Schizosaccharomyces pombe: one gene and its partners. Each later gene encodes a partner of the first gene's protein in a complex. Each region holds a gene or a part of one and is shown in the gene's direction. Other genes may lie near its edges. The genes, in order: rrp46, rrp40 and rrp42.

Region 1 (11,795 bases):
TCTGACTTTATTCTAGTCGCACTTACATTAGTTATTACATTCAAGTAGTATAATAATAATTGCTTTGTCTTATTCGTATAAGAAAACAGCATATTGTAACGAAGCACACACCACAGTTTACTGTTTTCTTAAGTAAATACTGAGCTATGTAGCTGGTTTGAAGCTTGTTTACCACTTTTCGTTGATAATCACTATTCAATAAACAATAAGAACTATAAACCTTTATTGAGAAAATAGAAAAAAGAAGTATTCTTAAAAACAAAGATTAAAATAAGGCGCACCGAATATATTCGAACAGTAAGTTATTTGACACATGTAGCTCTCATAGCAGTATTTAATAATTTGCTTGTAATCGTATCAATCATCCCGAAATTCAAAAGAAATAGGATTGTAAATTACGGACACTCAATAATAAAATTTTTATATAATACGATGGAATAGAATGAGCAGCACAATTGTTTAACTTAAGTACTGAGTAAATATATGGACTCTTAATGTAACAAATGAGGGTAAACGCACAATTTAAAGCATATTTTCTAATTTTATTGAAACGGATTTTGATGAAAGCTAATAAATAACTTTATAAATCTTTTTTAGTTGAACTGGCGATCTAGTGGTTAATGAAAGGCTGGGACATTCAATTAAATTTCAGTTAAACTTATTGTCAGAACGAAAAATAAATTGTTCATCGTAAGAGAGTTATAAGATAGATTTACTTTTATTTCCGAAAACACTTAGTACATGCTGTGAAATTAGCATGGAGGATGAACAGAATGGCAATAACCGAGTACCATAAATCATACTTCTCGTAAAAGTATGGTTTGTTTGATTCAATCTTTATTATACAGTATCCTAATCAAAAAGCTCTCAAATATAGTTTGGGTGTCTGTAAGAAAAGCATATTTCACTTCATATTGTTTTGGTATACCTATATACTAAATAGAAAATCAATGCATTTACCAATTTTTTTAGCTCGACAAGAAGAATCAATAGTCAGAATAGAGTGTTGAAATTGTGAAAACTTCGTTAATACGCAAACAATATCATATGAAACGAGCATTAAAATTTTAATGCTGCTTAAACAGATAATTACAGAATAGCAACAGTGAATCTTTTCACTAGTATGACTTTATTGTCTTTTGTACGTTCAGTCCCAGTGGTCGTCCACTTATTGGAAAGGAGCTTTAAATATGAAAACAATATTCCCTTCATTTGAACATTATATGATTTTGGTAATCCCATTTCAAATTCTTTAAACGGTTTCTAAAACATGCAATTCATTACCATTGATTATGGCTATGAGATGTTATAACGCAATTGTTAAAACCAAATATTCACTATTTTAATTCTAAGATCACTTCTCATTTAGTTTAAAGAAAAACAAGCAAGGATTTTCACACTGAAGGGTTACTTCATTTAATAAAATTGTAAATATTCTTTTACAACTGGATCGAGCTAGAAGATTCAGAACTTTTATATGCAGCCTCCATTATTTTTTCTACTGCCAAAACTTGATCAGATTTGATAGGAAACTCGTTAGCTTTTTTTAAGATTTCCTCAAAAACCGCATCGTAGAAGTCCCGGTAATTTCCCTGAACAGTAGGAACCGTAATTTTAGTTGGTTCAGGCAAAGCTTTCACGTCAGCATCCAAAGGAACAGTCCATAAGTTTCCATAGAGCTCAAATCTATCAGTTCCAAATCCATGATCGTTAGGCTTCATTCCTGAATGTAATTGTGACTCTTGTGGGTCAAACCCAAATTTCATAAAAGAACCACGAGTGCCCTTAATACAGAATCGCATTTCACAGCCGCATGACACATTAGTAGAAGACAGAATTACGTTGATTGGAAGTTTGTTTCCTTTAGCAGGGTAATGAAGAATAATACGAAAATAATCTTCCACCTCCAAAGGAGGAATTTGACGTTGAGCTTCCAGCTTGGCAGTAACAGAGTAAGGCGTGCCAAACAAGGAGACTGCTTGATCAATTAAATGTGAGCCTATCCCGTACACCATTCCGTTCCCGGGTCTAGGTTCATCTTTCCAACTTCCAGATTTTCGACCCAGACGGTATCGATCAAAGTGAGATTCGAATTCAACAACTTGACCAAGTCTTCCGCTTTCTATTATTTTTTTAGCAGTCAGAAAATCACCATCCCACCGACGATTTTGATAAATTGCCAGTAGTAGGCTTTTTGATTCGGCAAGTTCATAGAGCTCTTTGGCTTCCTCATAGGTAGGAGTAAACGGCTTTTCACAAACCACATGCTTACCAGCGTTCAAAGCTTTTTTTACAATTTCAGAATGAACATTGGGAGGTAGGGAAACTACGACCAACTCAATATTGACGTCGGCTAATAATTCATCCAAGTTTGTATAAACCAAAATATTGGGATATGCAGAGCGTGCTTTGGATTGTGTAACTGTTGCCCTACGTTCTAAACATGCATAAATTTCAAATTTTGAAGGTAAAGCTTCAAGGAATGGGAAATGAAAAACAAAAGCTGACACACCAGTTCCAAGCACTGCAGTCTTAATCGGAGGCATAGTTTAACTTAATCAAAGTAATGATTTGTAAGCTGTAGAATACAGAAATTTTTTTAATACGAGAAAATATCGAACCGCTAAAGGAAGAATTTTACTAACGACAGTGTAAGCATATGATCAGATATTAATAATCGGTAATTATAAAATTTTAACCGAATGAAGGGATCCATTTATCAAACATAATCATCATTTAGCTAAACATATGCTAAAATGCATTCATGTGAATACTTGAAAGAAAATGTTTGAAATCAGTCTATTTTACGAACTTTGATTTTAGACATACCAGTTACGCTTTTTTATTATAACAAGAAAGCAGTAAGATTTCAATTAAAAATTCAAGTAATAAAAAACTGATTTTTGCTAATCAATCTGGAAAAGGTTACAGAGTCAAAGTGGATGAAATAAACTAAATTTAAAAGTAGTTTGTTTTCGACAGCTCGATTACCTAACAAAGATCGCTTATTAGCATGTCATTAAAATATTAAACACTATAACGATCATTAGGTTGAGCTTGTTAACCATAGTTATCATAGCTTTTGCTTTGTAATTAATATCATGCCAATATTTCCTCTTATAAAAACGGGAATTTTCGAACAAATAATGTACATACTATGGGATAAACAGTCATCTACTCAAAGATATTTTTATAACATTGAGCTTTAGCGTAGTTGATGCCTAAGATCAAACAAAGTAATGACTTATGGGAATTTTGAGGAAGTAAACATTTGAAGTATCTGTTTAAGTGCTTCTTCTAAAATTCTTTATTGCCTGCCTTCTTTCAGAATACAAAGTATCGCCTTAACAATTCACTTCGGTTTTACTATTTGAATGGTGTTCGCTTAGATGAGCTTAAAAATTTTATAGAGTTTATTAATTTAAGGCCTTTACTGCGTATGAAGATAGTTTTTCTTTTTCTTTTTTTTTTTTAAGCTAATGGCATCAGTTTATATTTCTGAGCCAACTTACTACCCTTTTTTTTAAAGTAATTAGTGAAAATTTAAAATATCATTCATGAATTCACATGCTAAAATAGCGAATACATATGCCTTATTTTATCTACTAAGAAGCTTTCAAAGTTCTTAACTCAAACATTTCAGTATTCCTTATTATCACGTTTTAAGAATTTCCCTCCTTTTTTATATATCATTTAACAACATTTGTTACACATACAAGATCATAACTTCATGCAGTAGCTGTGTGTAAACACTAGTATATTAATATATAATTCATTTATTTGTTTGTGGTCTACTAAAGATAAAATAAAATAAGAATAAACATAAGAAATATTAATAAGCCAAACCAAATAATCACAAAAAATACGTATATAGGCGTTTTATAAATATCTGCGTTTTGCTGGAATAATAGTTATGAAACTAATGAACGGAATTCAACTAAACATACTCTACAGCACCAATTAAATTCACTATCGATACGAACTTCTTTCTTCGGGATTTCCTTAAAATCACTTAACATCAATTGTCAAACTTATTAACAAACTGAAGCAATACTTGATATTGACCAAATTAATATTATTCTCGTACTTTTTAATTGAGTACAAAAAATAAAGTTGCCATTGTTTGTTGAATATACAAAAAATGGAAAAGAAATAAATAATACTTTAATAACATGAGTTCCAATGTATTATTGAAATTCCATGCGATTAACTTTTTTACTAATATACAGAATAACTCCACCTATCTGGGATCGTATGGAAGTATAGTTGCTTATACTTAGTTCCATTAAATTTAAAATTTTTTAAACAAGAAATTTTTTTATTAAGAACAGGTTTCTATTTACCAACGAAATAGGCTTGACTTACTAGTTTCAGATTAACATTTGCTCATGATTAAGACAATACGCAAACGCATATACCGAAATCATCGCAATTCACTATAATAAAAGCAAACTGCACTGCCGAACGCTATTCAGAGGCAAGAATAATCATGCATCTGTCCAACGATTTATATTTATTCACTTAAAAACATATGTCTTTAATCACTAAGTACGTCTTGTAGTTGACATATTTTCTTTCTAATCTTTTGCTTTTCATCTACAATCGTTCTACAGCTTTATATCCACTCTCACTTTATCATTCCTGAATGAATTCACTAATTGATCAATAACCACTTTTTTTCTTTACTTTAGTTAGCTTACGAAACATTATTTTTGTTCAAAAGTTTGTATTTAATTTGGTCATATCATCATGCTGCAAGTGCTTCGTGTTTCAGCTCCTTGTTTTGCTTTTGTTGATACTATAGGAAGCATTGGAGTTTGCAGGGTAGTTCGCTTTACCACATTTCATAATACACCTATTGAAGTATACAACAAGAAAGTTAATGACGGCGTATGGAAACGTGACCCGTATCAAGAAACAGCGGTTAAAGCAATCAACCGTTTGTATACCGAATTGGAATCGTATACACAACCTCCAATAACGCAAGATAGTATGCCAGCTGAAAAGGGATCAATCCTATCTTGGATATCCCCCTTAAAGAAAATGTTTTCTAGGAAGAAGTCTCCCACTCTAACTTCTTCTTTACCTGTACCGGGTATGCCTAAAGGTATATATCTATATGGTGATGTGGGCTGTGGTAAAACCGCTTTGATGGATCTATTTTATCACAACTTACCACCCAATGTTACTCGTTCTCAGCGCATTCATTTCCATGCATTTATGATGCAAGTTCATCGCACTTCACATGATTTGCAAGATCGTTATGGGTTTGAGATTGATTTTATAGATCATATTGCATCCGGAATAGCAAAAGAAACAACAGTGCTATGTTTTGACGAATTACAGGTAACCGATGTCGCGGACGCTCTTTTACTACGCAGACTCTTTGAGGCCCTTATGAAGTATGGTGTTGTTATCTTTATTACTTCTAATAGGGCTCCTTCTGATTTGTATAAAAATGGAATACAAAGAGAGAGCTTCATTCCTTGCATTAAACTTTTGGAACATCGTCTTCAAGTAATTTGTTTGGACAGTCCAAACGATTACCGACGCCTAAAATCTAAAACAGAAGATACATATCTTTATCCTGCTAATAGCCCAGAAGTTAAGAAAGCCTTGGAAAATTGGTTTCTTTGCTACGCTGATGAGAAAGATCCTGCTCACCAAGACGAAGTTGAAGTATTTGGGAGAAAGATAATCGTTCCAAAAGCAAGTGGCAACGTTGCATGGTTCACCTTTGAACAATTATGTGGAGAACCGAAAAGCGCTGCCGACTATCTTTCATTGGCAAGCCGTTACCATGTTTTCATCGTTTCAGACATTCCCAAATTGAGTATCGAGTCGAAAGACCTTATCCATAGGTTCATTACATTTATTGATGCCCTTTATGACACCCATGGAAAACTCATCTTATCATCTGAAGTTCCAGTTCAAGAAATATATCCGACAGCACCTTCTGAAGTACTTTCCTCTACGGCTGATCCTGCTGCCAAGGGGAAAATTGAATCTCACTATCATGGAGCATTTGGTGGGATTGAAGAGGTATTTACCTTCACGCGTTGCTTGAGTAGACTTTCAGAAATGAAAAAACAATCCTGGATTCATTCTCCTTAATACAAAGGTGATTCCTTTATAATGAGATTATATATCATGATGTATTATTTTTAAAAAAATATTTTGAAAGATGGCTATGAGTAATTTCTAATTTTTTAGTGGTTGGGCTGTTACAGATCATTCCAGTTTCTCCTATCATTCAGCTTTAGTAAAGTAAAAATTGGAAGAATTTAATTACAAACCCTTATTAATACAACTCCCATTGTCACCAAACTATTGATACATTTTTTTCTGCTCTCATTCTGTTTTCGAATAACGAGGTGTAAGCTAGCTTATTTCCTACTTGTGCAAAGGAAGTAGAAACGTTTCTTCTGTCTCTGCAAGCAAGCAACTTTGTTGCATTATAGAAGCTGAAATGAACCGTATAGGTATCCTCTCAAGGTCTGATGGCTCGAGCGAATGGAAACAAGGTAATGCTATTATCCACGGTATATTAGCCAAGCAAATGCCAATTAAAAAAAAATGAATTTTCTTTATGCTAACATCATTGTAGGTTCTGCTAGGGTTATTTGTGGTGTCAATGGTCCTATTGATGTAAAAATCAGGGACGAAAGGCTTAACAAGGCCACCGTTGAAGTTTTGGTTCAACCTGTGAGTGGTGTCGCTGAGACTTTGGAAAAGATGATTTCTAGCAGAATTGTTGGTATCCTAGAAGATGCAATATTTCTAAACACATATCCAAGAACACTTATACAAGTGTCAATTCAGATAATAGAGGAAGATGGCACAGATACATTGGCTGCCGTAATCAATGGTGCGGTACTTGCTTTATTGGACGCAGGTATCTCTTTAAAATATATTCCCTGTGCAATAAATTGTCACTGGAAGAACAAAATAACTCAAGATGAACCTGATGTCGATGGGACAATTAACAAATTGGAGTCTATTATTACTATTTGTTATTCAATTTCCTCAGAACCAGCCAAATTAATTTTTCTCGAAACAGCTGGCCCCATTCCAGAAGAAGATTTTTTCCGTGTTCTGGAGACAGCACCATTGCATGCCGAGGAAGTTTCTAAGAAAATGAAAGAATTGCTTTTTGAAACGTACAACGAGAGCGATGGTCATGAAAATGAAAAGAACCCCAAAGAGGATGTTGAGATGGATGTGGTTGCATAAGAAAATCAATAAAGTGCATGTAAAAAGTCCATCTCAAGGACCTTCGTTTCGTATTTACCATTGTACCTGTTAAACGACTATACCTTTGAACAATATCTTTGGCTGTTCATTTTTATACTTAGATTTTATATTACTTGGGCGATATACATTGGGTTATTTTTAATTTATTTTAGTTTATTACTAATTGAGAAACCAGAACCTAAACAATCCTACTACATTAGAAGGTTTACTGTCATTCTTTCAATTCACTAGCAATTAATGTGTTCTTTCAATACTTCAATGTATGCTGATACATTTGGGTTAAATCATAAAAGAAGATCTGTCATAAGACAATCGTTCAGTACAAGGCCTTGGGTATATACACTCATGACTTTTTTTTTTAATTTTGCCACTCACTCACTTACTCTATACATATTGAGTCTATCTAACGTATCAAGCTGTTAACTAAGAGAAACGATTTGAAAACACATAGGAAGGTCGCACACATTAGCTGTCTTATATACTACTGAATTTTAAGTTTAGGAAATCATTGAAGGTAAAATAGGTAGAAAAGTGAATAAAAGGCATTCATACCCAGGACAAAGCATTGCCTTCATAAACTGGGAATTTGCCATACACTAAAAAATTACTGTTGCACAACTTTTCCTAAAAAGTAATCTAATGTAGTAATATTATACTACAGCAGGTATTAATATTTTTTCACATGTCCTTTTTTTTATGTGTTCGCCAAATATGACGGTTATAAATTTAGTTAAATACTTTTGATTGAAGGTACTATTAGCTACAATTTATGAATAGAGATCAATTGACCCGGTTCTCAGTCCAGTTATAAGCTGATTCAACGATGAGTTACACCCTTCATGCCACAAAATTTATAGCATTTGTCACCCATATCACTTTTTTTAGGACAAATAACATACACTACCAATGTAACATTAAATGTGATAACACAGTGCGTTGCTAACATTTAGCAATTCTTTTCTTACCACGTAATACTTTTTATGGATAACCTTATTCCGCGTTATTTTTCCCCACTCACAGCACACTTGATTGCCGAGTCCAATCAAGTTGATATGAATAACCGTGATGACGGAATTAGGGCGCTTCGTAGACCTTAATTGTTTACATACAAAATGTTCAGCTATGCAGCCCTTTCGTCCACATTCAACACTCCCCCATCTCTTCTTAAAAAAAAAATAAGCAGAAAAACTCGTTTTCTGTAAAGTAGAAGGTATTTTAGAATACACTACAATTTTTTCTAGTAAAACTATTATTGGATACCTTTTTTTCGCAGTTCTAAAGGCTTATTTCTGCTAGTTATAGTAATTCACTGTGTATTTAGGAGAGGACTCAAGGTTGTCGTTCTCTCTTTCTATTACTGTCTATTAATATCGTAAAATAGCTCAATTTTGAATGGGTTTATCTCTTTAGTTTGCTTGCTCTTTAACATTTGTCATTATCTCATACATTTTTTTACTCACGCCTCCCTACCACTTATCACTTAGTCCTATTTAAGGGGAAATTTGTTTACTTCTTTTTTCTTAAAAAATGTCGGTCTCAAAAGCTAGACTACAGTCTGTGGTTCGCCTGTCTCGTACAGTGCCATATTCAAAAACGATGGTTCGTTCATTTCATGTATCCTGTGCTGTAAAGAACAGTGGGAATGTTCCTACACCCCGTAACAAATCATTTTTCTCTCGAGCACTTGAAATGGCGGAAGTTACTTCTTCTTTGTCCATGTTGGGTGCCGTAGCCCTCTTCCAATCCTTACGAAGACTGAACAACAGTTCGCCAAAAGGAAAATCTGGTGTTCCGAAAAAGAACATAGTTGTTTTGGGTTCTGGATGGGGTGCAGTCGCGGCAATCAAAAATTTGGACCCGTCCTTGTACAACATTACCCTCGTGAGCCCTAGGGACCATTTTTTATTCACCCCTATGCTTCCTTCATGTACCGTGGGTACTTTGAGACTTCCAAGTATTACTGAGCCCATTGTGGCTTTGTTCAAAGGAAAAATTGATCCCTCCAACATTCACCAAGCTGAATGCACTGCCATCGACACATCGGCTAAGAAAGTTACCATTCGTGGTACGACCGAAGCTAACGAGGGAAAGGAAGCGGTTATTCCGTATGATACGCTTGTTTTTGCTATTGGAGCTGGTAATCAAACATTTGGTATCCAGGGTGTCCGCGACCATGGCTGTTTTCTGAAAGAAGCGGGAGATGCCAAGAAGGTGTTTAACCGCATCTTTGAAATCTTGGAACAAGTTCGATTCAATAAAGATCTTTCTCCCGAGGAACGGGCTCGTCTCTTACACATCACTGTTGTTGGTGGTGGCCCTACTGGAATGGAATTTGCAGCTGAGATGCAAGATTTCATTGATAACGACGTTAAGGATATGTTTCCCGAGCTTCAAAAAGACATCCATGTCACGTTAATTGAAGCTGCCCCCGGTGTTCTCCCCATGTTTACTAAATCTTTGATTACGTATACGGAGAATTTATTCAAAAATCTTAACATTAAGATCATGACTAAAACCGTGGTTAAAGATGTTAATGAGAAGAACCTTATCGTTCAAAAGACCAACCCTGACGGAAGCAAGGCTATGCAAGAGATACCCTACGGAATGCTCGTTTGGGCTGCCGGCATTACTGCTCGTCCACTCACTCGTACATTGATGTCTTCTATCCCTGAACAAAGCGGTGCGCGCAAAGGTTTAATAGTTGATGAGTTTTTTAGGGTCAAGGGTGTACCTGAGATGTACGCCGTTGGTGATTGCGCATTCTCTGGATTACCTGCTACTGCTCAAGTTGCTAACCAACAAGGTGCTTGGTTGGCTAAGAACTTGAACGTCGAAGGAAAGAAGTTTGCATTGCATGAACGGATTCAAGCTCTTGAAAAACAGTTAGGTGAGAAAGAGGCTCCTTCTCAGGTTGCCGGATTGAAACAGCAAGTGGAGCAGTTGAAGTTAGAGCCCTTTAAATACCATCATCAAGGAGCTTTAGCTTACGTTGGAGATGAAAAGGCCATTGCCGATTTAAAATTGCCATTTATGAAAAAGATGCTGCCTTTGCAGGGAATTGTCGGCCACACCTTTTGGAGACTTGCATATTTAAATGAGTTGATTTCTGCTCGATCCCAATTCATGGTGTTGATTGACTGGTTGAAGACAAGACTATTTGGACGTTATGATGCTAAGGTTTAATGAACGGAATGAAATACTTTTGGTTTACAAGCAATTGTTTCCTTGTGCTTTGTCGTTAATCATAAGATGATTATTTTATACTTGAAAAAGGAACGTATTTGAATAACAGATTTCGAGATGAACGATTCGTTTCGACTACTACTTTGATAATTTAAGTTTATGTTATTCTAAATGATAATACTGATGCCTTATTTGTTCTATGATGGAATAATTCTTAGTGTTACTCCATTGATGTATGTAGAAAAGCTGGAAGTTAACAGTTGACAGGTAGTACAATTTCGTTACTCAACGAGACTATATGTTGCATATGAACTGAAAGAATTATATTTATGTCTTACTGTATTCAGAACCACTTTAATTAGAGCCCGTATAAACCATGTTCTCTGCTTTTAGCTAGCTAATCGTATAATTAATATGCCATGCTGGCTTCACCGGCACTAGATTCGTTGTACAGTATTATATTACACTACCCCATCAGGAACCGTTTCACAAAAAACCCGTTCGCTTACATAGCAACATTTCTTAGATAATTTCATATTTCTAATCCACTCCAAATAAGATATCCTTTCTTATATAGATTGAAAGTTTTAAAATACTGCTTAAATATGCTTAGTTGACTCTACCTTGCTCACTTCAATTTTAAACCGTTTTCAAAGGTTCTATCAACTCCATCGCACCGGTACTTTTTAAGATCATTTAATGATATACGTTGTATAACATAATAGATGATTCACTAAAAAAACTCACCGTAGTACTGATTGCATCCTTATAAGCCTAACAAAATATGTAATTATTCTGTTAAGTTATTTACAATATTTGTATTTGCCGCTCAATATTGTTTAGCGCAATAAGGTGATATAGCCTGGCCAAAGCAGAGAATGTCGAAGAATCTTTCTACTTGCAAAGCAATTGAAAGTTGAGGCTTTATTCTTGTTTTTAACCCTCAATAATGTCTCTAAACCAAAAAATAACAAAGGCAGTTGCTCTTTGGCCGAAGGATGAATTGCGACCTTGGTTGTCGTTTCCTAAGACTCTTGACACATCTATTAGAGCCAGACTTCAAAAGATGCCACCTCAACAGGCTAATAAGCAGTTAAACGCTTTGAATAATTTGCTTGATAATGTCTATTGGAATAAGGTATGCTTCTTATTACGTGCCTTGATAGGGTCGCCTTACCTTTGTTCGCCTTTTAACCAAATTGTAGTATATCCCCAAGCAAGTAGTATTGAAACCACAATTTAAACCTTCTTACTACGAAAGTCTTACCCAAATAAGAAGAAAAGAAGAGAAAGCTCCTCTTTGGAAAAGATTGTTTAAACGGAAATGAACTCCCATTATGCGCCTGCGAGACATCCTA
Region 2 (6,606 bases), on another chromosome or scaffold:
TTTGGACGAAAATAAGCTGTAGTGGATTGTGTAATGCCTTTTTCATTAAAAAGTATTATTGGAAGTATACTAAGTTAGTATAAGTGTCCATAGTCAGAATACGAGCATAATCGTGTCACTATTCGGTAGGCTATACAATATCTTCACTTGCTGCCAAGTACAACATATATAGCTTGTTTGCTACCAAACACATGTGAGCTTATTCTAACAACTAAGTACATAAGTTTTCTTTTAAACTATTCAAAATGGATTTGTACGATTATATGGCACCTACAACCACTACAGAAGAAGATGATGAAGAGGGATACGAAAAACTGAAAGAAGAAATGGGTTCGGCTCTAAATGTAATTTATCCTTTATGATGATTTACGGCGCGGAATTTACTGACATTTTATACAGAATCTGACGAATGGAAAGTTTGGTTTGTTTTGGAACTCAATGAAAGAAAAGGTGTGTTGATTGCGAATAATGGCATTGTTACTAACCGTTCAAAGAGTGAAAACTTTCTTGATGATACAAAGGGAAAAGCCTCAAGTGGAATGCAGCAATTAAAATCACAGCTTGAAGAAAATATACCTGTTAATTCTGCTATGGAAAACTTGCGAAAAGTAGAAGAAACAGCAGGAAGTTTCTGGAGTGGCTTCGGATCTACAGTGAATGGTTTTTTGGATCAAGCATTGCAGATATCACCCAAAGAAGACGATGTATCGACTCCTACACACGAAGCCTCTTCGTCTGTTTTCTTAAATCGCCACGAGAGACAGTTGTTGGAACTTGTTCAAAACGAAAATACTTTTACCCAAATTATCTCTGAACCCTCTCATGGGATCACGTTTGAAAGCTGGGAAAAAGAAATTTCCATTGATGGGAAAACTGAAGAGATCTCTTTACTTTTGGAAGAATATCCTGATTTAAGGAAACAGATGGAATCTTTAGTACCTTCTGAAGTTTCTTATGATGATTTTTGGAAACGATTTTTTTGGCATAAAGAGGTTGTACAGCCGATAAAGGCAATTCAATCAGGAAACGATGAAGAAGAAATTTTTAGTTGGGGAGATGAAAGAAGTGATGAAGAAGAAAGTGACAATGAACAGGTTAATGATGAAAAAAAGCAATCAAGTGAAGAAGATACTACTGAGAATAATTCAGCAGCTGAAGTGATAGATGAAACCGTCAATGATTTGGAGTCAGCAGTTTCAAAAGGCTTACAAATTGAAACTCAACCCGCAAGCCATGATGGAGAGGTTGATGGAGAAGTTAAAGAAGAAGAGGAAAATAAAGTATCATCTTCCAGTAATATAGAAGCTTCTCAAAGTTCTCTTGAGGTGAAGGATGAAGCAAATAGAAAAGTTGATGACGATGATGAAGACGATGATGACTGGGAATAACGACTCTCGTCAAACTATTAAAAAGAGATATACTGTTTTTACTTCTCTTCTATTCATTTACTTGTTTTGGTGTGTTTTGTTCGTATAGCTAATTATTTGTCTGAAAACATTTTGTTTACGAACAACTCTTAGGTATATTATTAGCGGAATATAAAAAACATCTAATCTTGAGTATGCAGGTTGGAGTAGTAGGACTAGAGCATTAATCAACCTTCTTATAATATTATACATTTACATATACTTTTTGATTGTGAAACTTAAGGAAACCAGGATTTAAAAGTAAATCTGTATGGGTCGACGACATCAATAGATAATAAGTCCCTTAAATAATGAAGATTTTTAAGGAGAAAATGAATTCTGATATCACTTAGCTGCTTTTAGTCTTTTTTAAGTTTCTTCCAGTTGTTGTTTATTCACATCACATAGGCGAAGATCAACAACTCGACCATGAGCAGCACCATCTTCTTCACCAACGAGTGCGTATTGATCAACGATACATTCTAAGCTGCTAAATGGCTTAGTCAATACTTCGGTATTGTAAGCGTTTAGCACAACGTGAATGTAAATAACAAGAACAAATAACCAAGTAGGAATAGCTAGAGCCCACCAACGAGATAGATAATAATGAATCTCAAAAAATTTGAGAACAGGCGCAGGCGTCAGAGCCCAAACAATATACACGCCGAACCCCAACATTGACACCAAATACATCACGAACCCGTAATACTCATAAGTAGGAACTTTTACCATTATATCCCAATCTTGTTGATCAATTTCTGCAATGGCAGTTCCCTCTTCATCAGGCGTTGTAGACCTCGTTCGAAACATCGTAGTCAAAGATGGCGACGGTGGAACCAACATCGGATGTCCGTAAAACGGAGGATCAAAAACAGTAGTTTGCCTTACATCTTCTATCTCTCCTTCAGCAGAACCCTCTATCCCTTTTATGAACGTGGAATGATGAGTAAGTGTCATCCAAACATGTGTTTACTATGTGCATTTGTTAGATGAGAGCGCGTACTGAGATGATACAAATACAACTACGTCTGCTTACGATGTGATTAAATTCGATATCCCTATTAACGACATACATACAGAAAATCCTCGTAAACAGCATTATAGCACAATGTACGTTTGCGTTATTTTTCACAGTCTGGGCTAATGTGATTTATAAAATTAACGAGATTTACAGTATTAGTTTAGACACACTTACCGTCCAAGACATTAATCCTCGAATTATAGTGTATAACTCGCGAAAAATCAAACCCCAAATAGCTAATTTTCTTCTGTTAACCAAATGGCTGAAGTTGAAGAAAAAGGTCTGTTATCTTATTACTTTCCTGGTGAGCGGATACCAGACTCCATAATTAGTCAGGATGGATCAATTCGTTTAGGTCCTGGTTTAGTCTTTCAAAAGAAAGACCGTGAAGAAGAAATAGTGGTCTCAAAAGCTGGGAGGTTGCATCAAACTGGAAAAAATGCTATGTTGATAGACTCACGGACAAAAAGATATATTCCTGCTACAAATGATCAAGTTATTGGGCAAATTATTTCTAGATTTGCGGAAGGTTATCGAGTAGATATTGGGTCAGCTCATATTGCTCAATTGAATGCATTGGCTTTTGAAAATGTGACTCGTAAAAGTAGGCCCAATTTAAATGTTGGAAGCCTTGTGTATGCTCGAGTATCACTCGCTGATCGTGATATGGAACCGGAGTTAGAATGTTTCGATGCTACCACAGGGAAAGCTGCAGGATATGGTGAACTTAAAAACGGTTATATGATAACAGGTTTATCTTTATCTCATTGTAGGAAGTTGATCCTTCCTAAAAATACACTTTTACAGACCCTAGGAAGCTACATTCCTTTCGAAATTGCTGTTGGAATGAATGGTCGCGTTTGGGTCAATTCTGAAAATCTTTCTACTACGGTCCTCATTTGTACAGCTATCAGAAATTGCGAATTCATGTCTGATGAAGAGCAAATAAAGTACTGTAAAGACCTTATTAAAAAGCTCTAACGAGATTCAGAAAAAAAAATTTGAATAATATGCACAGTCTATTTAACAATTCTTGTCCAATTGGGTTTAATTCAAAAATGGTTTGCCCTTATCTAGGAGGGACCATTTCTGAATAAAGTGTATTGTTTCTTCTTTAATGCCTGTGTCTAATATTCCCATACAATTTCTGTCGTTCTTTTATTTATTACAGCAGCGTGTTCATACAATATCTACACTCGTCCTTTCTCAACTGTTTTAATTAAAAAATTACTTATTATAATGCATGAATATACAAATACAGATGCAAAGATAAGTAAGCAATAATTAATGCATGCATAATGAAAATATAATTGTTATTCGTGCTCGTAAATAGTTTTTAAGATCATACCAATTCTACAATCCCAAAAAAATTTCGTATCCAATTATTTCGTAAATCCTTCGACAATTGCAACGACACCAAGAGCGCCGGCATCGGGAACTTTAACATCATCACCAACGTAGACAGCACGTCCAAGTTTGGCTTGCATATCTGCAGTAGCATCAGCACCTTTACGAGCCTCCTCTACGGCAGCATTAAGATCATTAGTTTTAACAAATGTTTCGACAAATGGAACAAGAGCATCACACATAGTGCTGTCACCAGGACGAGCGGGAGTATACTTGAAAAGAGTATCAAGAGCAACCTTCAAACCAGCAGCCCATGTCTTAGATGAAATGTCCTTGCTCTTCTCCAAGGTGTCTTTCATGCCCTTCGCAAAGCCATGGAAGAAAATGGCGTACAAAGCACCAGATGTACCATCCATATTGTCTTCAATAACATCTGCGATATCACGAACAATACGAATAGGATCGTCAGAGAATTTGTCGGATTTAACAAACTTCAAAACACCTTCAGCACCACGCTTCAAAGTAGTACCACAGTCACCATCACCAGCCATCGTATCGAACTTTGTAATTTTAGGCTCTGCTTTGATGAGATTCTCCATCGAATTGACAATCGCCTGACGAACCTTCTCCTTATCGACAGTAACGGGAGACTTGACATCCTTCTGACCCTCCTCGATGCTGACATTGCCAATCTTGTTTTTGGACTTCAAGTCAGAGGGTTGACACAAAGGCCATCCGATAGCTTCAACAGGTTGGTCAATCAAATCAACCAAAGAGTATTCTTCGCCCTCGACTTTGACGCGGTCAGTGGTACGGAGCAAAGTGATACCGAAACCCAAGCCATTCAAACTGGTGGTAAATGGACCGGCAAAGATGCGAACGGGGTTGATTTTGTATTCTTTAGCCAATGCTTCCTTCACCTTGTGGCTAATGGCACTGAATTCAAGCATGGAAAGACCACCAAGGTTATTCATAAGTAAGACTACTTCATCGTCACCCTCAATCTTTACATAGGCACGGTCCTTGTCGGATTGATCCAACATTTGCTTAAGCATCTGAGCGATTAGGTCATCAATAGAGGGAATAGGGGAAATACGCTTGCATCCAGGTTCATTGTGAATACCCATTCCAAGTTCCATTTCATCATGTTTCATTTCATCTTCTTTTGCAATTGGCTCATGACCAGGGACGTGAACGTGAGCGAGTGAAGCACCGATACTAACCAAATTGTCAATAGCAGCCTTAGCAATGGTCGTAACGGCTTCCAAAGGTAACCCTCTGGCGGCAGCTGCACCAGCGATTTTGTGAACAAGAACAGTACCAGACAAACCACGACGTCCGACCTTACCGCTCTTCTTACGACCTACTGATACGTCATCTGCAACGGCAATAAGTTCAGCCTTCTTACCAGCCGTTCTTTGCTTCTCCAAGGCCATACCAAAGTGAAGGATGTCACCGGTGTAGTTTTTGCAAATTACCAAGGTGCCAGCCTCAGATTCGACTTGCTTAATACCGGTATAAATTTGCTTTGACGAAGGAGAAGCAAAAATGGAGCCTGAGACGGCGGCAGTAAGCATACCCTTGCCCACGAACGAAGAATGAGTGGGTTCATGACCAGCACCACCGCCGGAAATGACACTGACATTCTTTTTGTTGTAGTCATGGAAATAGATGAATTTTCCCTCTTCATGAACAGTTAAAGTTTTGTTCATGTCGGCCAAGGATTTAAGGCCATCAAGGACGAGGACTTCAGGATCGTTGATAAAGTGCTTATCCATATTTTAGAATAATAAGAAAAAGGTAAAAAAAAGAGAATAAAGCCTTAAAATAAAATTAAATATAAGTTGGATAGTTAAATCAAATATTCCCGAAATTTATGATCTAAGAATATAAAATGACTTGTTTTAGGTGGTGGGGAAGTGCAAGTGTGAGTAAAGGATTAAAGAAATAAATCTATGTGTCTCTAAAATCTCAAAATATTAATATCAAAATTCCCTTCAATGCGAAAAAATTAACACTTTATACGCTACTATGCTTCAACTGGTTTAAATACAAAATAAATAAACCAAGAATATACTAGTAAACGTTTCGTTTCGTTACGTTATGTCTCGTTTTCGTTTCGCTATTTCGTAAAAGTTATGAGTGTAGCGGAAAAAGGGAGCTTGAAGACGATTTAATAATGCTGGCCTTGTCTCTCTATATATACTATATAACCACCAATTTGCATGACGAAGTGCCCCGCACGTAACGGAAGTGATATTATGCTGAAACAGTGAATAAACACATCTAGATAACCGTAGAACCGTTTTTCATACCCTTCAACTAATTACGAAATGTTGCCGATATGAACAATTAAATTAAATATCAGCTTGCCTTGCCGAAGATGACCTCAATCCATTTTCCTAGTCAAAGAAAAATTTCGCTGACCTTTTGTAGATCATATGCTAGAAAAGTAGTAAAATCGCAGCGTAAACTTGAGTCACCTTTATGTAGCAAAAGATTGCCTTAAAAGGGCAAACTCTACCAATGCCCAAAGAAGCAATGGGACAGGACGATGGCTATTTATTGAAATTGTTAAATCGTTACGAACTGCCATAAGAACCTTAATTAAAAGAAGGTTGTCGAAAAGTGCTCCGGTCTGCACATGTGGAACCAGTCATCTTAGTTAGTGCAGCCCCGGTATTCCACGGTGAAAAGCAAGTTTGCAGTGTAGAAGACAAATGGACCATTTGTTCATCAGTATATACAGTTAGTTAAAAGGATACGAAAGGCTGGATCATTTAGTGAACGAAGTCGCAAGTGAAATACTTGTTCATTATTATGTTCTGGTAA
Region 3 (11,685 bases), 3.6 Mb from region 1:
AAGAGCCAGAAGTAACTATAATCTTTTATTGTCAGTAGTGCTTGACAGTGCAATAAAGAAGGGAGCTATTATTGTGTTAATTTTAAAAAATTTGTAAAATTTATTATGTATATTAAAGCTTTCAAAATTTTGAATATATACCTATAACGTTACAAGAATAACCTCGCGTAAGCAACAGAACCATCGTTTCTCTCCTTTTTAACGAAATAAATTCAATAATAGTGGATTTTACCAAAAAAAAAATTGAATAAATAAATCTATTAAAGTAGGTAAATTACGAAATTTTAAAAACAATTATTGAATTAGAAGACAGTTGGAATAGGCAAGGTTGAAATAAACAGAAAAATTTGGTTATGATATTTAAAGCATCATTATACATTTTGGATGGATGGACAAATAAATTCAATTACGGTCCAAATTCAGTATCCCGGAATTTTAATACTTTTCTAGTATGGTAATTAGGAACTGCATCAACAAATAAAAGTATTCTGACACCGCTTTATACCAAGGCTTAAAAAAAATCCTTGGTGACATTTATTAAACGATTCCTCACTTCGATTCATCGAGGATTTTGAAAGGCTGCTTAAGCAAGATCAATAATGAATGGGTAATGTGTTCTTATACATTCTTATAAGCAGCTTACTGAATTTTGCATGCCTGTTCAGCTCTTCAATCACTTACATTCTTTTACTATATTCATGGATTTTTTTACAAAAAATATAATTGCATGTTTAAATATAGTGAACCTTCTAGTACTTTATTGAACATATCGTTATTCCAATTGCAGTTCGGGTTGATGAAGTGCGTAAATCATTGTCATATTCCAATGATTGCTGAATTTCTTGCGTGGTCCAACTTTTGAATGGCGTTGCCGAAATTAGGCATTCAGTGAATCAATTACAGAGCATTCAACTTATGAATTAGGTTTTGGTATGAATGTTAGCAGATTGCTGAACAGTTTACTTGCGCGCCCTTTGCCGTCTTCTCTTAACCACTAAGAAGTAACCTTAAAAAGACGAAAGATTCCGTTCTTCGGATTCTACCTCTTATTGCTCATACTTTTAGCATATTTTTCTGATCTTTAGTATAATAAAGATTAAATCCATATTTTTACACCTATTTCTTTCTTTTTTTCTGCTTTTAATAAATCAGAAAAACCGATTTCACGTTTGCAAGCGAAAATCAATTTCTTGCTAGCAAATTCATTCTGCACTTTCATCAGTTTTGAATCTGAGATACTCTTTCGCGTTTATATTAATTTGATAGAAATATACGAAAGAAAAGTCAACTTCGTTCAATCTATTTATTATTACTTTTTGGTTGCCCTTTTATCCATACAACCAATATTCTAAGCATTTTCTAATAATGATAAATACATTCAATCCCGAAGTCCGTCTGGCCATCCACGATTTGGATAAGGTAGGTCCTGCTATTCCTCTAGAGAACTATGAAGCGGCATTACGTGCAATTTTAACTGGAAAGGCTTCACCCGTCGAAACTGCTTCCTTCCTTGCGAGCCTTCATTTGACCAAAGCCGAGGAAGTTCCCGATATCCTGATGCAAACAGTTCAAATTTTAAAGTCTTACTCCACGCCAATTGCTAATATCGAGATGGTTTCTCCCAGATTTGTCGATATCGTTGGGACGGGTGGTGATGGCCATAACACGTTTAATGTCAGTACTGCCTCTGCCATCGTTGCTGCTGGTGCAGGTCTCTGGGTCTGCAAACATGGCAATAAAGCTTCTACATCTGCCAGTGGATCTGCTGATTTGTTGATGTCGTTTGGTTGTGATCTTCTTAATGTCACTCCCAAAAATATCGTTTCCATTACTGAACAATGCAAGTTTTCATTTTTGTTTGCCCCCATGTGTCACCCTACTTTAAAAAATGTTGCCCCAATTCGTAAACAACTGGGACTTCCCACTATATTTAATTTAGTAGGCCCTCTGTTAAATCCTATTCCTACTTATGCTCGTATTATCGGAGTTAGTAAGCTTTCGTTAGGAGAAGTTGTTGCTAAGACATTATTGAAACTTGGAGCTGGTCGATCATTAGTTGTTTGTGGTGAAGAGGGTTTGGATGAAATCTCTCCCGCTGGACCTACGCATACATGGCTTGTTCGTGACGGAACAATTACTCATGAAGTATACACTCCAGAGTCTTTCCATCTTCAGTCTCATCCTCTCTCCAGTGTAGCCAGTGGCACTCCATCTGCAAACGCCATTCTTTTGGAGGAGTTATTATCAAATATGCTGCACGCTAATCATCCGATTTTGGATTATGTGTTGATGAATACTGCAGCGTTACTTCATGTTGCTGGAATGGCTGAATCTCTTAGAGAGGGTGTCAAAATTGCTCAACAGAGTATCTCTTCTGGGGCAGCACTGAGAGAGCTAAGTAACTTTTCTACTATTAGTCAGCAACCCTAAGGTTTTTATTTCCAAGCTACATTATATCCTAGAACATATATCCGTTCAGACCCCATTTTTGTATATTCCCTTTCTCTTTGTTTTTCAACGTGCCTTTGCAAAAAAAAGCATTATTGTTCTTTTTTTTTACGTTTGTTGTTTATTCTCACTCCTTTTCCATATGGGATATTTTTCTTTAGCTTAGGTCTTATATATCAGTTAGTTATGGATCTATAAAAATCGTATTAGCGATTGAACTGTAGTATATTTAAAATTTATATATCATGTTTACTTAAGCTTAATGTCTTAGATGGGATATTAAGCACAATTGTGTTACGTTTCGCTATATAAAATAGCGAAATACAATAATCCAACAATTTGTGAATAGATAAAAAGTAGCAGACTAATATCATCCGAATTGCGGACCCCATTCCTTTGTATTCAATCTGGGGATCATATAGAAAACTGTCGATTTGATTGTGAGAGCATGATTTCGAAGTTACTGAAAATAGTCCTTTTAACTGCAGGTGTTATTGGCAACACACTTGCTGATTCTAGAATTCATGAACAATATCTTGTAAAAGCATTTCCTAATGAGCCTGTTGATTATGAGGGAAGAATGCATGCTGGACACTTAAATCAAACGGATCAGCTGGATGGTGATTTGTTTTTCTGGATGTTTGAATCCGTAAAACCCGAATACGAACATCGTTCTGTAAGTATTTCAAGTGAATGTTTTTAAATTAAATTATATATTATACAAATTACTAATTTGATAAAAGATTCTTTGGTTAAATGGAGGTCCTGGCTGCTCTTCAGAAGACGGCTCGCTGATGGAAGTTGGACCATTCCGTCTTGATGACAATAATACATTCCAATTGAACCCTGGACGCTGGGACGAATTGGGTAATTTGCTTTTCGTAGACCAACCCCTAGGCACAGGGTATTCATACTCTCTGGCTAAGGATTTTCAATCTAACAATGAGAAAATGGCCAATGATTTTTCTATTTTCTTTGAGAAATTCTTGGAGGAGTTCCCAGAAAGAGCAAATGATGAATGGTTTATCGCCGGAGAATCATTTGCTGGTCAATACATTCCCCATATCGCTGCAAAGTTGAAAGAAAAAAATCTTGTTAACTTGGGAGGCCTTGCAATCGGAAATGGATGGATTAACCCACTTTCTCATTATGAAACATACCTAAATTATTTGGTAGAAAAAGGCATGGTTGATTTTGAATCAGAGCTGGGTCAATATTTACATCATTCTTGGGCGGAATGTTTACTTGCTTTTGACAAGATAGGTTCCGGATCTGGTGATTTATCTAAGTGCGAAAGTTTTCTTGGCGATATTTTATACATGGTGTCAAAGGAACCTGGGAAAGCATGTATGAACATGTATGACATTAGCTTAGAATCGACATATCCTACTTGTGGAATGGACTGGCCTTACGATCTTTCCTATCTTACTGAATTTTTAAGTGTATGTTTATAATTATATGATAATATATCTTTTACTAACATTGTCAGACTCGTGAAGCGATGACTTCCTTAAACGTTAACCTCGAAAAGGTTCATGATTGGGAAGAATGTAATGACGACGTTGCCCTACAATATGCTCGTGAAGGGATTGAGTCCTCATCTAAGTTAATCCAGGACCTTGTATCTACGGTTCCTATTTTGTTGTTTTACGGCGAAAATGACTTTCTTTGTAATTATTTATCTGGCGAAAAATTAACCCGATCACTGGAGTGGAATGGTGCTGTTGGTTTTCAAAATCAATCTGCTCAACCATTTTATCTTCCGGGCTATTCTGATCAACCATCGGGCTCCTATGTTAGTTCCCGGAACCTGACCTTTGCTCGCATAGTTGAAGCTAGTCACATGGTTCCATACGATCATCCTAATGAAATGAAGACCTTGATTACTGCTTTCTTTAATAATGACTTTGCCAGCTTACCATCGGTACCTAAACCCTCTCCGGATTTAGGTAATGGAAACTACAAATGGCTTTATTTGGGTTTGATTCCTGTTGCTTTAACTATCATTATTTTATTCTCAATTTATTTGTGCAGGAGATTTGGATTATTTGGTCTTAGCAAACAACGCTACCAACCTATATCTCCAACTCCTTAGACTGTATATAAATCTTTTCTGTCGGTTTTTACTTTCACATACAGATTTTCTGCTCTTTATTTTAATCATTTAACTTTTAATCTTGCTTTATCGGTGGTAGAATTTATTTTTTTATCTTGGAACGTTCTTCCCTGGTTTTAAAAAATCTGCGATTATCACCATAAATTTTATCTCTCATCTTTAATCAAATTTCACTTATGGATACATTCTTTGAATTTTTATTTTTGCACATAGTCTCTAAATGATCTCAAATCATGAATATGAAATATCATGTACCAAACATTGTCTTATAGCTATTGTTTGTTCTACAGTTTTTGTAGTTTTTTTATAGGACAGATTAGCGTCAAACGCTAATCTCAATAACGTGTTTGCAATAGTACAGTATATCATGGAGAACTACGTCTTGTAACATGTGTCACAAATGTATAAATACTAGTGAGATCTGTCTGTTTATATTGACAATCCGTTACATCCCTTAATAATCGATTATTATAAATAATTTATAATCGAATCACGTTCCTAAATTCAGTTAGAAGCTATAGCAATGGGAGGATTCTATCACATCTACGCATGAGAACAAAGGAGAACTGCAAGCTAATAACAGATCTACTGTAATCATATTTGACAATCCAAAATCGACGCACGTTATCAGGGACACAATTGATGCGTTTGGTAAATTTTACAGACAGCCTTAACTAAATAGGTCTAGGCAACGAGTGAACTAGCTCTATATCAAAGAAGAAATTGGATAGTTTTATTTCGATGACAACGTCTTTAAATCCATGATCCAATAGGCCCAACTTGCTTGTGGATGGATACTTACAGATGGCACGCTATCGAACAGAACACCAGATATGATCTTATTGCTACTCGGCCAAATTGCATCAAAGTGGTAAATAATATTTCAGCGTAGGTTTTGCATCCAAAATTTTGAAGGAATAGGTTATAATGAAGCACCAACTGCCCAAGCATTTTCAACTGATGTAAACTTGCGAAATTTTTAGAGAATGCGCCTTTTCTGCTGTGTCAATAAACAAGTCTTAGCTAATAAAAAAACATGTCGCAGTAGTACTGACAACGCTATAATTTACTACGTTGTGTATCACATTTGGAACATGTTCTATTTAAACATAGCCTCGTAGATGATAGATATTGGGGCAAATCATTTGATATCTGAAACAAATATTTAGTTTATATGTTCAACAATTTAAATAGGAAACTAAATTTCGTTCCTCACTTTAGTCAGAAGCTAATAACAGAAATAGATCATAAATAATACCTACATATACCAATATTTTCAATGACTCATAGCCGTTATACCTATGTATTATAATATAACAGATCACATGTAAAACTTATCGCGGTTTTGCATATCGTTAAACAGATACAAAACTGCGTAGCATACATAACGAACTTTAGAATATACGCAAGAACTCAACGCAATATTGCAAGGAAAATTATTCTTAAACGATATACCATTAGCCAACATATGCAATTGTCATTACCAGAACTATCGTACACACACAAATCAATAACAGAATTTGAGCCTGCAATTCGGAATGATGGACGTTCGATAGACCAGCTTCGTCCGCTTTCTGGACAAGTAGATGTTCTGCCTGGTACAAATGGTTCTGCTAGAGTTAAATGGGCGTCTTCGGTGGAGATAGTCATAGGTGTAAAAGCAGAAGTGGGTGATGCTACTCCCGAAGGTGGTAAATATGTCGCTTCAGTTGAAATGTACGTGAGATATTTGGAGTTCGTATTAACATTGTTTGGCGTAACAAACAATATGAATCAATTGAAAAAAGCTGGTATGCTAACACTTTTTATGTAGTTCTCCATCTGTTTCAATCCAGAATCGTGAAACCGATGAAATTCCTTCATTCCTTACAAGTGCCCTTCAGGATTTATTAAACGCACTTGCTGTCGACTATTTGAAATTTACACCATCTAAAGCTTGGATTATTCACGTAGATGCTGTTGTAATACTTTCTTCGTCTCCTTACGAAAACATTCTTTCAGCTTTAAGTCTTGCTGCTTATTTAGCATTACAGACTACACGTTTACCTAAAATTTCTACCCCCAATGTCACAGACATCACTATTGGATCTACTAAATATGAGCCTTCCGAAGAATACGATGTTGATTCAGAATGGGAAAATGCATTACCTTTGCAAGGGTTAGAATTAATGTCAGTCATAATTTTGGTTAGTAGCATTGATCAAGTGATAATTGTTGATCCTACAATTGAGGAATCAAGTGTCGCTCAAGTGACATATGCGATTGGTGTTCAAGCTAGTGGTGCTATTAGCTATACCAGGGTCGTGGGTACTGGAGGAGGCTACGCATCCACTGGACGTGCAATAACTGTAGAGCGATATATAGAATTGTTAGAGACTGCGTCTACCGTTGGTACTAAGCTTTTGAACGCCAGCAGCGATATTCTATCTTTTAAGGGTTTAGGATTTTTTGATATTCTTCCATAAATGAATTGGGTTGGGTTGGTCTCCATTTCCTATATAATAGCATCTTTCTCTCTATATATATATATAAATGCAATACTTGGGTTACGGAATCAGGATCAATTTTGTTACATGAAGAGGCATGCATCGGTATTTTTGGTTACTATGGTTGGTCATTGTATTTCGTTTAGGTCAAAGTCATATAGCAAGTATAGTAGATGGGAATAATTTAAGGGAAATGAAATGGTAACGTCTATAAAAATAATAAAGCCTATGCGGCCACTTCTTGGCTTGTTTGGTCAACGTGATCCAACATTTTTTGGATCTTAGAAACAAGTTGCTTCCGTTCAAAACGCAATTTCTCGCTGCCCAGTACGTCAACTCCATCCAATTTTAAAAGCTGTTGTAAAAGTAGTTCACTTATCATTAGTTTCTGTTTGTTTTTCTGCTTTGGATCGTTCGACGGTTTATTTACGTAATTGTCGTACATGGGGGAAAGTTCTTTGTCAACATACTGATCGATGGCTTTTATTTCTCCAGAAATACGCGAAAATACAGGATTCTCCGCTTCCGCTTTCGGAGCGGGCTCAACCGTGTCTTTTTCCTTGGAACCTCGTTGTTGCTTATGTGGTCTTATACATAGAATTTTACTATGATTTTTTAAACCCAATTTTGATAACGAGGCTTTTTTGTCTTTTAAACGCTTGCCAGCGTAAAAAAGCTTGACTTTCTTCTCAGAAATCTCAGTCGTTTCAAGTAAATCATCAATCAGTTCACTTAACGTCTCATTTAGATTGACTGCTACCGGAAATCGCTGATTTCCATAGTGTATTGTAACTGTGCTAGTCTTTTCTGACATTGACGATATTAAGTCGACTTGCTTAACGGATCCAACTCAAGATGTTTTATGTTTTTAAGGCTGATGCTATCCAAAAAAATGAAGGTCTTAATGCGACGCTTAAAAACGAAAGGTAATAAGTTAATAAAAGTATACGAGCGGTCTGGTTATCTAGGTTTGCGGTTCATTATGACTCATAAGGTAGACTCTGCAACTCTGCGTTATATTTGTTAGCAACCATAAAATGAAAAGATTAATAAATAAAGTATGGGATTTTGAAAATTGGAAAAGTAGGAAACAATGATAATTTGACTTACATTTTTTAAACAATCGAATCTTTGCTTTGTGAGATGAAAAACATCACGGAATTGGGTAAGGATCATATGAACTAGAACATTCCGATTAAGTTGGCCATTTTCTATGTTTTTAAGTTGAACTTCCATTTCTTTTCGCAAGAAAGGCTTGGTCAAACTCCACTCTAAACCAATTTCATCATAGCCTTTTGCCAAAGCAACTCCTAAAGAGCTTGGTACAAATTCAGTTACACCTTGGCCCCTTTTTTTTCGTTTTATGACATATTCTCTCTCCTGAACTTTTTCGATGTGCTCTGCCATAGTAGCATCTGTCCCGATTCCATTGGCATCCATCAAGGCAATTAACTCCGGTTCAGTGATATAGGAAGGGGAGGACGTTGAACTGTCCATCATGTCGAGAATGTGGGGTTGGAATTCCTCGTGAAGTCTATACTCTGGTAATTGATCCGAACTTTCCCATTTCTCATATGGATAAACCTCTAAATAATTTTTCTCTGTCACTAGCAATCCCTTTTTAGAAAAAAGCTCTTCTTCCATTTTAACCTGCACCAACGTTTCGGCTCCTTTGGCATTGTCAGAACAACAAGCTAAAAATCTTCTTGTAATTAGCTCATATACTTTCCAATGATCTTGGGAAGGAAGCGCTGACCGGTGAACCATTTGAACGGGATGAATAGGTGGATGAGCGCGATCATTGTGTTTACCTTTTCGGGGCGGTCGATAATCTCCAGCCAAAAGCCTAACATTAGTTATTACGGAAGCCACTATAAGAAAAATTATATTTACCCTTCTGCATAAGAGTCCCATTCTTGTGCACCTGTTAGTTTTTGGATAATCGCATGCAAATTCATTGAAGAGTCAAATTGGTCGGTTTCAGTACGTGGGTAAGAAACAAACCCATTAGTATATAAGTTTTCGGCGAGCTGATGAAAATGATGTTAAAGTTGCAAATTCACTTATAATCAAATCGTACCTCTAAAGTTTTCTTAGCAGAAATTCTTAGATGTTTTGGCCCCAGTTTTGTAAGTTCTACAGTTGATAATGGCAGAGGTTTATACTTGGTTTTTGGTTTTTGAGTTATGTTAACGACCTTAGCAGTTTTGCATTCTAAACAGTTTTCCAAGATGATCATTGTAGTTAATCTGTCAAAAACTTTGGCCCTTTCCCAATTGAACTGAATAGTCTTACCCTGTCTTTTATCAACAAATCGAAGGTGCCAGTAGGTTTCAGGCACAAAGTCTTCTACTCGCTGCCACCGATCAACTACAAAGCCTAATGTAGGGAATTGGCAGGGACCATAACTTATTATTTTATTCTGAAGAATATCGAATGATTTTTGTAATTGAATAGTTTGTAGCCGAGTGAATATTGCACCTAAACGAAAATCAAGTTCAATTCTAGCATCCACAGCATCTGCAGCATTTTTTGAAACATCTCTTGGACGTTTCGCGGCACTGATAATATGTCTGAAAATTAGTTAGCATTTATCTTGAAGGGTTTTTTCTGTAATAAATAAATATCTGCTTTTTAAAACGCTAAGATGTTTATAACTTACGACCGTTCCAAATTATTGAAGTCTGCTCGGATAACCTGAATAGATGGATTGCTGGCTCTAGCTACATTGGAGATTTCCACCCCAATGTGTTCACCCTCACGATCACAATCGGTCCAAATATAAAGGTACTGGGCATTTCTAGCTTCTTTTTTAATATTGTCTGCTAGTACTTCTGCATTCTTTGATACTGAGGTGATGATTTGAGCATCGAATAAAACGTCTTGAGGGACAGAGCTCCAACTAGAATATTCAGAAGGAAAAGAAGCTTCTGTTAAGTGACCGGATACAGAAGTCATTGTAACATCAGAAGATCCAACATTGCCTCCAAAATTAAATGAGAAGTCGTAATTTTTTACATACTTACTTCGTGTATCTCTCTTAAGAGATTAGTAAATTTCAGAAAAGATTAAATTTTTTAACAAACCCTTCTCACGTGTCCACCCCCTAGAATGCTTGCTACCGATTTGGCAATCGAGTTTTTTTCAGCAACACATAGGACGCGCATTTCTTTTAAGAGATGACATTTATTACTTGGATATTGCACACCTTCTAATTATATCTCCCTTTTTTAAAAATGACTGCAGTGTAAAATTCGCGTGTAAGGTGTTAAGGTCGAGATGGCTTTATTGTTTATGCTAACAAATGTTGGTATAATGAAAGGTAGTAAATCGAGGACCAGAAAGTTCATTAAAAAAAATCAAACACCATACCAGTAGTTAATTATACTAGAGAATTAAGAAGAACCTCTTTAGATAAGTAATTATATAATTTTGATGTATGTTGCATTGAAGAAGTCCATGTAATAACTATTTCTTAAGCTTTCATAGTCAGGACGGTTTAATGAATAGATGCGCCGAATGTATAACAAAATTTAAAATTAATATTTTGTTTGTAAAAAAAAGTTAGAAATTTAGATATTTTTTGATTTTTGAACCCATCATTCGCATTGTAAACTACATATTTATTTCTATAGAGCATGGTAAATTGATGTAAGTTCCTTAATTAATTGAAATTAAAATAAATAGATAAATGAAAGTTCTCTTATTGACTCAAACCGGGATTGATAATATTTTAATTTGTTTTTATATTTATATTTTCTCATCTTTTAAATGCAAAATAATTATCGATAGCTAAAAAAGAAAAAGAAAAATCATGCACTATCGATAGAGTGAAGGGACTGTGCAGAGGATTTTTTTTGTTTTTTTAAAACAAAGCGACCTTGTCTAGAAGGCAAGTTTTTGTTTCACAGCTTCTCTCGTAAATCTCAATTAACTACTTTGATTCCATACAATTGGTAACATGTTACTTTCCTCACCACTGTAGTAGACAAGTGCGAACCTGAGATAACTGATGAAGCAGTAGTAAGCATTCTTCCACGAGGTTTCTACTTTTTTTAATATAGTCTGAGGTTTATTATTCTGAAATATAAAACACAAAAAATCCATGTTCGATTAAAGCGATTGAATTTGGGAAGTTTAGGAGGTGCGATTAACCAAAAATTTGAAATTTAATTTCTTTTTCATCTTTTCATTTTGTTTTGTTTATAACAAGTTTTTGCACTTTGGCTTCCACAATATTGACCTTTTTTAATGGATGAGATACAGGAGTCATCGTGTAATGAAAAATTGAGTGACGAAGACCTTGCAGCCGAGTTTGTTGAATTTACCGATAATATTCCAATCGAGATTTATCGTTCTTTACGTTATATAAGAAAATACGAGAATTTTTTTGCAAAAGAAAATGAAAATTTAAATACCGCTGCCAGGTTGGTGTGTGATTGTCCCATTTCAGAGGTCCCAAGTGCTAAGCAAAAATTGGCAGATTCTCTGTTTACATCGCATGAGTATTTACGACAAACAAGTGCAGAAGCAAACAAGTTATATGAAAACGTTTTGGCCTCTTATAAGCACTTGTGTGAAAAAATAAAATATCTAGAAGCAGATAATCCGCTTTATGTTCCAGCACCATGATTT

Evidence for each region.
Region 2: rrp46 (region 1) and rrp40 share a complex: the UniProt entries of both Schizosaccharomyces pombe proteins name them as parts of the RNA exosome complex.
Region 3: rrp46 (region 1) and rrp42 share a complex: the UniProt entries of both Schizosaccharomyces pombe proteins name them as parts of the RNA exosome complex.

Annotation. Positions count from the first base shown.
Region 1 is NC_003423.3:632,905-644,699, forward strand, and holds rrp46 (exosome subunit Rrp46), read left to right. Parts: upstream 1-6,427; 5' UTR 6,428-6,469; coding exon 6,470-6,524; exon of another isoform or gene 6,525-6,607; coding exon 6,608-7,233; 3' UTR 7,234-8,439; downstream 8,440-11,795. Other genes in the region: SPOM_SPBC115.03 (gfo/idh/mocA family oxidoreductase), read right to left, coding at 1,440-2,546; AFG1 family ATPase, read left to right, coding at 4,750-6,114; ndi1 (NADH dehydrogenase), read left to right, coding at 8,782-10,437; respiratory chain complex assembly protein Cbp6, read left to right, coding at 11,387-11,575, 11,643-11,765. UniProt on the Schizosaccharomyces pombe protein: Non-catalytic component of the RNA exosome complex which has 3'->5' exoribonuclease activity and participates in a multitude of cellular RNA processing and degradation events.
Region 2 is NC_003424.3:1,176,011-1,182,616, reverse strand, and holds rrp40 (exosome subunit Rrp40), read left to right. Parts: upstream 1-2,676; 5' UTR 2,677-2,685; coding exon 2,686-3,408; 3' UTR 3,409-3,761; downstream 3,762-6,606. Other genes in the region: SPOM_SPAC22A12.14C (BSD domain-containing protein), read left to right, coding at 246-344, 400-450, 495-1,388; mug84 (pig-P phosphatidylinositol N-acetylglucosaminyltransferase subunit), read right to left, coding at 1,776-2,363; dihydroxyacetone kinase Dak1, read right to left, coding at 3,810-5,552. UniProt on the Schizosaccharomyces pombe protein: Non-catalytic component of the RNA exosome complex which has 3'->5' exoribonuclease activity and participates in a multitude of cellular RNA processing and degradation events.
Region 3 is NC_003423.3:4,225,921-4,237,605, forward strand, and holds rrp42 (exosome subunit Rrp42), read left to right. Parts: upstream 1-6,020; 5' UTR 6,021-6,032; coding exon 6,033-6,280; exon of another isoform or gene 6,281-6,346; intron 6,347-6,377; coding exon 6,378-7,029; 3' UTR 7,030-7,276; coding exon of another isoform or gene 7,277-7,864; 3' UTR 7,865-8,014; coding exon of another isoform or gene 8,015-8,059; 3' UTR 8,060-8,160; downstream 8,161-11,685. Other genes in the region: phosphoribosylanthranilate transferase Trp4, read left to right, coding at 1,366-2,430; kex1 (serine carboxypeptidase), read left to right, coding at 2,897-3,124, 3,192-3,890, 3,938-4,543; BAG family molecular chaperone regulator Bag101, read right to left, coding at 7,277-7,864; top3 (DNA topoisomerase III), read right to left, coding at 8,015-8,059, 8,161-8,896, 8,944-9,080, 9,131-9,623, 9,713-10,089, 10,137-10,217; protein ptf2, read left to right, coding at 11,302-11,682. UniProt on the Schizosaccharomyces pombe protein: Non-catalytic component of the RNA exosome complex which has 3'->5' exoribonuclease activity and participates in a multitude of cellular RNA processing and degradation events.